Danio rerio: one gene and its partner. The protein of the gene in region 1 purifies or fractionates together with the protein of each later gene. This does not show direct contact. Links are inferred from orthologs where the notes say so. Each region holds a gene or a part of one and is shown on either strand. Other genes may lie near its edges.

The links. Proteins that work in one complex are often made in the same cells at the same time.
Region 2: the proteins of gapdh (region 1) and siah1 purify together in Homo sapiens (affinity purification with western blotting; 4 studies listed by BioGRID). This does not show direct contact. The link is inferred for Danio rerio from reciprocal best matches to the Homo sapiens genes GAPDH and SIAH1.

What each region holds. Positions count from the first base shown.
Region 1 is NC_133191.1:17,266,688-17,271,184, reverse strand, and holds the start of gapdh (glyceraldehyde-3-phosphate dehydrogenase), read left to right. Parts: upstream 1-1,553; 5' UTR 1,554-1,596; intron 1,597-1,981; 5' UTR 1,982-2,004; coding exon 2,005-2,027; intron 2,028-3,759; coding exon 3,760-3,859; intron 3,860-3,942; coding exon 3,943-4,049; intron 4,050-4,168; coding exon 4,169-4,259; intron 4,260-4,338; coding exon 4,339-4,454; intron 4,455-4,497. UniProt on the Homo sapiens protein: Has both glyceraldehyde-3-phosphate dehydrogenase and nitrosylase activities, thereby playing a role in glycolysis and nuclear functions, respectively.
Region 2 is NC_133193.1:19,825,026-19,828,965, reverse strand, and holds the start of siah1 (E3 ubiquitin-protein ligase Siah1), read right to left. Parts: upstream 2,801-3,940; 5' UTR 2,635-2,800; intron 1-2,634. UniProt on the Homo sapiens protein: E3 ubiquitin-protein ligase that mediates ubiquitination and subsequent proteasomal degradation of target proteins.

The sequences.
Region 1 (4,497 bases):
TTTGGAACATGTGGAGGATGAGTAAATGGTCAGAAGTGTCTCCATTTAAATAAATCATGACTTTAAATGGAAGCAAATACTTCAGTCAAACTAAAGATGTTAATGAAGATTAAAGGCTGGCAGATTTAAAATGGTGATGCTGCACTTTTATATTCAGTGGCAAAACCAACTTGGGCATCTTTTCATCTCGTGACATTGGAAATATAAGAAGACCAAAGGCCAAGGGTCAACAGCAATAGTCACAATCGAAAATTGTCAGATGTGCAAACTGAGATGATACAAACCAACACTGAGTAAAAATAAGTCAAAACAAAGAAAGACTGCATTGTTACAAGTCATGTTTGCAACAAAAGTGGAGAGCTACTTTATAACATTGCACTGACAGCTAATCGCTATAATACATGGATCTTTTTTCAGTCTGTCCTCTGTGCAAGATCTAATAGTGTCTGTGTTAATTACTAGTACAAACCTGTGATTAATTACAGACAAAGGGATAAAAGTTAGCTGCATTTAACATAATTAAAACCAACATGAATGATGGATAACAGAAAGATTATAATGTGATTAATCAAAACTCAATATGCAAATTCATAAAACCATAAAGTCAGTATGCAAATTTGTAGTGTAATTAATCAAATTTGATAGAGCTATTAATGCACACTGTCACTCTCTAAACTCTTGTCACTTTTGATAATGTTTATGTTATGCTACAACCACTTTGGTTTTGCATTTGATTTACTTGCACAGATATGCACATGTGAAGGCTCAAAGAATCTGTGTAGGTACAAAGGCATTGGATTTCCTACTGATGCAAAGGATCGTGGGATGCAGGAATGCCTGAGTAAAAGGGAAGGGTCATGGTCTTTCCTGTAAATGTCACACACTCATGATGAGGGCGATTTGATCTCCTGCTTCATATGCACGGTCTGGGCTAGTTTTAGAAGGTCAGAGTGGACAGACCATCTCAAATATACATATAATACATACTAAATACATTTATTTAATAATTTATTTATTTTAGCCAGTGTACAAATTGCATAGGGTTACAAGCCTAAATTACTTCTGCCTGGTTTCCTTATACATAACCTGCAAACCATTTATTTCTCATAATGCACTACATATTACTGAAGTGCTTACAGAATCATGGCCATTTGAGAAAGCATAATTCTCGATCATAGTCATTGCTTCTTTCATAAAAAGTACAAAGGGAAACTTTGATATGTCACTAGTTATATAATATTTAATACTCTAGCAAAGCTTGGTTATCATCATCATCAGTCATATATGCCATCATCATCATCATCATCATCATTATTATTATTATTATTATTATTATTATTATTATTATTATTATTATTATTATTATTATTATTATTATTCAGTAGATGTAGTAGTTTCATTCACTGTACCCCAGTACGACCTTGACATTCTAAGGGGGCGTGGTACTTATAGCCTAAAGTCCAGGGGGCGTGGTACTTATAGCCTAAAGTCCAGGGGGCGTGGTCAATGCTATCGCACCAGATATAAATTATCCTCGTGTTCGTAATCAGTCCACTCACACCAAGTGTCAGGACGAACAGAGGCTTCTCACAAACGGTAAATTTAGTTATTTCATGTTTCAAATGCTTGAATTATTTAGTGTTTAATTATGTAGTCTTTGCTCAGATTGCGCTGGTGAAGCCTTTGCAAATGTTAGCAACTTTTAAATATATGTGCATGTTAATGGCATGGAGCAACATTTCTAATGAAAGCTGAGAGTTCATGCTCTTTAGAACTTCTAGCCTACATTTTCTGGCCAATTGGGAAATGCTTGAGTATGAATACAACAGGCTACTGTGAACTACAAATGTGTATGAACTTTTTGTTCACTCTCTATCTGTAGTTAGAGGTGTTGCAGTTTCACAACCTGTACTTTGTTCCCATAACGAAAGACGCCTATAATAACGTGTGAATTAATTACAACCTTTTGTTTTCCTTCCAGAGGACACAACCAAATCAGGCATAATGGTTAAAGTTGGTATTAACGGGTATGTACTCCATTTGATTCAAATATGAAAGAAATGAACATTAGGCTGCTTGCAACTTTTATTATTAATTGTTTTGAACAACAGGACATCAGTTTTATTTTATTATAAGCTTGTTTGTTAGTGTTTTGCTGTTAAATGCTTTCTGGAAGTTGTATTAAGTTTTGACTTTCTAATTGATTGTAATGAATGGTTGGAGGGGGTGTCACCTAAGCCAGCCAGTCAAACTGCTTTATTGGTGTTGTGCCATCGCTGTGTACATTGACGTCATCATGACGACAAATAATGGTAATTTTTATCTGTGTACTTGGCTTCTTTGCCTTGTATTTTACTCCAGGTTCAAAGTTTGCTTCGAGTCTGCATTTTACTTAGACCATGTTGTACAGGACTCTGGGTTCAAGAATCCAAGCTTGTGTGTTCTGCATTGAAAAACCCCCAGCACCAGCTGTGACCTTTTCAAAGCTTATTGGGTTGTGTAACAGGAAACTTGATCCTGAAGAGACCAGTACAGGACACATGCATATCGTTCATGTGCACACAACCTGAAACTTTAATGCTCATCCAGGACTGTGCTGTGAAGTTTAGGCACCCTAAATTACAGCACAAGTCTTTTGCGACTTAAAATATCCACCTTTAGATGGAAGTCTGTCTTTAGGCACTCAAAAGGTTATGACCCCAAGTTCACCCCAGTGGTGTCCTTAAGTAGCCTTGGTTCATTTTACAAGCAAGAAATTTATAATAGGCCTACTTTGCATTTTTGCCATGGGTTTATACAATCTAAAGTTATATGAAACTTCAATTATGCAAGTAATTTGACATGGTCTTCAGTTTATCAAATTAATAACTTTAAATACAAAATCCCTTTCTAAAGCCTGTTACAATGTCACTTGACTTTATGATTTGAACACTAATGGCACTGGACAAATGGTCAATCCACATTTGCTAAGAGCACTGGAAATTTTTACCTTTGCCCTGTTTCTCTATCTTTACAGACTTGATGCAAATGTTTTGAAAGTGTACCACTACCATATCAGTGTCTTATCAGTGCATGAAAGTATGTACTGTGATCATTATCGCAGTATCAATAGGCTGCTTTCTTTGACCTATTGATTGAATGTACAGCTGAGTGTTGCAATAAACAAAAAGGGAATTCTGGAACTCCTTGTGGGGTCAGTCCTTCTTTCTCTGCATTTTGTGCAGTGTTGTTGGATGTACTAAAATAGCTCACAATGGCAGCTGGAGGCCTATGGAATTTGTATCCTTGCCTGGAGGACATGCCTCTATGAAGCTGGGGCAAATATTTGTGGAGATCATTCATCCAAAAGCCCATTCTTCATGATCTAGCTCTTAATCTCCTGTAGCACATAGTTGACTTTCCCCAGAGTTTATTTATATTTTTGGTTTATTATTATTATTATTATTATTATTATTATTATTAATAATAATAATAATAATAATAATAATACTATTAATTACTTATTATTATTTATTATTATTATTTATTATTATTTTTTAAAATTAATTTATTTAACTGCTGTCTGCTCCCACTCTCCAATTGACCCAGAGTTACTGCGCTCACAAGGGCACAATGTTTGACTTTGTGCATGTTCAGAAATGGGTCCTTTCTGCCATCTAGTGGATAAGTTGCCTGACTGCGGTTGTTTTCTTTTTTTTTTCTTTTTTCTTTCTTAATGTGAGATGAAAGCAAGTGTTTATGAATGAGCTTTTTTTTCAGATTCGGTCGCATTGGCCGTCTGGTGACCCGTGCTGCTTTCTTGACCAAGAAAGTGGAGATCGTGGCCATCAATGACCCATTCATTGACCTTGATTACATGGCAAGTTCCTTAATTTTTTTTTTTTTTATTTAACTAGTTTTGGGGTTATTTTGAATATATTTATAGTGCTTGTTTCTTCACAGGTTTACATGTTCCAGTACGACTCCACCCATGGAAAGTACAAGGGTGAGGTTAAGGCAGAAGGCGGCAAACTGGTCATTGATGGTCATGCAATCACAGTCTATAGCGAGTGAGTGCGGTTCCTCCAAACTATGCATGGTTTTTATTATTATTATTATTATTATTATTATTATTATTATTATTATTTTTGCAAGCATTGGGCTATGCTCATGATCTCTGCCTAAACAGGAGGGACCCAGCCAACATTAAGTGGGGTGATGCAGGTGCTACTTATGTTGTGGAGTCTACTGGTGTCTTCACTACTATTGAGAAGGCTTCTGTACGTAATCATGGATGTTACATAAGCTGCCTGCAACAACAATTGTTTTTCTGTAACTGAAATTTTGCTCTCCTGGTAGGCTCACATTAAGGGTGGTGCAAAGAGAGTCATCATCTCTGCCCCAAGTGCAGATGCCCCCATGTTTGTCATGGGTGTCAACCATGAGAAATATGACAACTCTCTCACAGTTGTAAGGTAAATGGTGTTTTTATTATTTATTTATTTATTTATTTATTTA
Region 2 (3,940 bases), on another chromosome or scaffold:
AACATTTCAAACATTTGGTAGAGATTGATATTTCAGAATTTATAGGATGTGTTGAAAAAAAAAATACATTGAGTGTGTTAATTATGACATTACGAGTTGAGAAATGTAATCCAAATATTTTTTTTCTTGGTGGGATAGGTAAAGGGTTGAAGAATCAACTTGACATGGTTTTAAGAAAGACATAAGAAATAGTTTAAAATCCTAGCAACAAATTGACATTTTTAACTAAAAACCATCTATTCAAAAATGTTTAGTTTTTTTGTTTATAAGGAATATATCCCCAGATATACAGCTGCAGGATATTGGAAAAAATGTACATTGCGATATTTACATTTTCTGCACTTTATATTGCCATTTATCTCAAGATAGCTTAATTAATAATTTTAGACACATTGGGATGGTTTTGTTGAGGAGTGCATAAAATATAATCAACAAATTACAACTGCAAATGACTATTGCGTATTCACACATTAATGCTGAAACAATATATTGTGCAGCCCTACCCAGATCATTTAATTATTACAAATTTTACTACAACTACTGCTATTGTTAGTAATATATATATATATATATATATATATATATATATATATATATATATATATATATATATATATAATAGTTAAAGACATATTTAAGTCATTCTGTGCTTGTAAGCATAAAAAGATCCCGCCAGAGAGCCTACATTTGTATATGAAGAGCTTATAAACAATAATAACAAAAAACGTTGTGAAGAATGCTTCCAAACATAATATGTATACAGTTCATTCTCCTCACACCTCACAAATGAAGGTGAAGGATTGCATTACCAAGCACCTGGACAAGGATGAAACCAAAAAAAAAAAAAATGTGTTTAACCTCATGACATTTCTAACATTCAGCAGTTCTTTTTAAAAATAAGCTTTTCTAAAAACCTGGATTTATTTTGAACAATTTCATGCAAATGTTAACCTTGCCATTAAAAATGAATTATGTTTTCACCAAAGTAGTGAACCCCTTTCTATGTTTGTGTAGGCCTGTATTTTACTGCATAGTAAAAAACACATTAAAAATCTTTCTGTCAATGTTTTTCAACAATTATATTTGATTAACCAAAGTCACACAAGTGCTAATTTCACATCCATCACATCCATAATTGAGAAATGTCATATTCATAACGAAGCTCTTTCTTCATAAATGCAAAAATGTAAAATAAAATCAATAATTTTTGTTCTACATTAAGCCAACTCTTCTCCTTGTGATTAGCATTGTTTCTTTGGGGTTGTGCCGTTTCATTCACAGAATTTCTATAAAGAATGTTGTATACTGTAAACTTGCAGACTTCTTTAGTCAGATCCAAAACGTATGTTTATTTAGCTCATTTAAATTTTTTTTTAATTACAGATTGATATTTTTTGCTCCCATATCTCAGTGGTGAGCTGTTTTGGAAAATATAAACAGATGTTTCGATATAATGTTAACATATACTTTCTATGTAAATTTAAGTTTTAAGATATTACTGCAAAAGTCACATCCACGAAATTGCATCATTTATGCATCAAAACATCTTCACAACAAGATTACCTTTAGTACAACAGGGTTAGTTACAGAAGGGATTTGACCCTATCCTATCTAGCTATTGCTTCAACCACCTGCAACTTAACCTCGTTTACTGTAATTGATAGGGGAGGTGCTAAAACGGATCCTTAAGGATAAAGAACAACAAAAACAGTACCGTCTAATTGAGTCGCAACAACGATGTAAGCATAGGATCTCCATGGCGAATTGCAGCCGCTTTGTAAACAAATCGGAGTGGTGATCGAGCAGCCAAGTTCAAGGCGTCTGCGAGCACGAAAGCTTAAAATAAATCCCATGTGTAGCATTCACGACATTAAGCTCCTTTAGGTGTCACATGCACAAGCACATCTGATGATTTTACTGTAACATGCTCGATCTGATCGTGTCGACCCTACACACAGTGTCGGCTGATGGTTAGCCTTAACGTTATGCATGTTTTTCTTTTGGGCTGACTTCTAAATCAACACCACCATATGTTATATTGACCATAACCAGTGATAAAATGTTTTCTGTAGCACATGTTGGTATCGGTCTCTGTGTTCAAGTTAACTTTTATAATGTGAGGCTGCTTTTGCACCGCAAACTAATACAGTTTCTGTCAGTCAAGCCATCTCTGTATGGCTAGAAACAGTCAAAAATGATCCGTTGACAATAAACGAGGTCTTAATCTTAGGACTGAAATATAAACAGAAATAACACGTCTGCACACATACGCTAATTACGATTGGAAAACACTGCACTGGTTGCATTACATTTGATTTCGTCACATAAACAGTGTTTCTCACTTAGCACAAGCATATAAAGCTAGCAAAGGCAGGCTAATAATGGCTACATGGACCATATATCGGCGTTTAAAATATTTAAAAAGCATTTTGTTACTGGATAAGAACCACACAGCGAATCACATTGTGTTAAAGAAAAAAATGAACTCACAAGATGTGTTTTGCTGAGGAATGCAGTAAAATTGTTGATAGCATGGTCGGCTAGCCGCTTTTTAAGCTAGCTAGCTCGCTAAGCCTAGTAAAATCAACAACAGATCCATTATCCTCGAGTGGAGGATTTAAACATTGCACTTACCTCCAGAAAATATCCCTCTGCTGCCAAACGAATTAATTGTAAAAAATAATTCACCACACGTCGGGCAGCGTTAGGTTATATGTCCGTTAATCGTTTGGTTGTTTGTGTTTCCACATTCGCTAAAAAGAGACGCTGCTGTCGCCCGGCAGTCTCGGTGTCGCGCACTGACTGAAGCTGTTGAAATATATTTTCACGGGAACGGCGCTGCAAGGATACGCGAACGCGCTTCAGACACATGAACGCGGGAAGGAGAACAACGTTGGGCCAACAACACACAGATGGAAGAAGTACTGTCCTCAGATTAGGAGTTATAAGAATATAATATTTTATTTAGACAAATTAGCACTTTGGTATAAAACAAAAATTGAATAAAACTGGATAAAAATAAACTACATATCATAGGATTTTAAAACAATAAATAAAAAACTGAAATATGATTTTAACAAGTGATCTAAATTTAATAAAACAATTAATTAACAGTAGATTAAAAAAACAAATGCAAGTTGTAGCTTAAAACAAATGATAAAAAATATAGAAAAAGTAAAAATGCAATAAATAAATGTTATTACATTATTGAAAATGTAATAAAGTTGCTCAATATAAATTTACAACGTTCCAAGATTTTTCCCATATAAATTGGGTATTTATATATTATATTTCTACATAAAGTATTATTAACATTTGATTATTGCAAGGCATCACGATGGCACGATCACCTCACAGCAAGAAGGTTGCTGTTTCGAGTATAGGCTGGGTCAGTTGGCATTTCTGTGTTGAGTTTGTATGTTCTCCCCATGATCGAGTGGGTTTACTACGGGTGCTCCAGTTTCCCCACAAGTCCAAAGACATGCGGTATAGGTGAATTGGGAAAACTGGATAAGTTGGCAGTTAATTCCGCTGTGGTGGTGACCCCAGATTAATAAAGGGAATAAGCTGAAAACAAGATGAATGAATGATTATTGGAAACACTATTTAGATAATAAAAAAAAAATTAAATTTGTATCTCACCAACACTGACTCATGTGTTAATAAAAAGAAAACAAATAATAATAATAATACATTTGTTACTGTTGTGTTAATCAGCTTTTAAAGATAGTCATTTTTCTATAAAATGGTTGTACTATTAGCTCAATGATTGGATCTCAAACACCGAAGTCGAATATGATTAAAAGACATGATTCAATAAGGCAGCTGTAGTTCGACAATGCTGAAAGATCTGATGCAGCTGGTTCAGTTTTTAATATTTTCTTGAATATGTGTTCTTGAAAAAAGCAAAAGTGGATGTTTTAGTTATGTAACCTGAAAA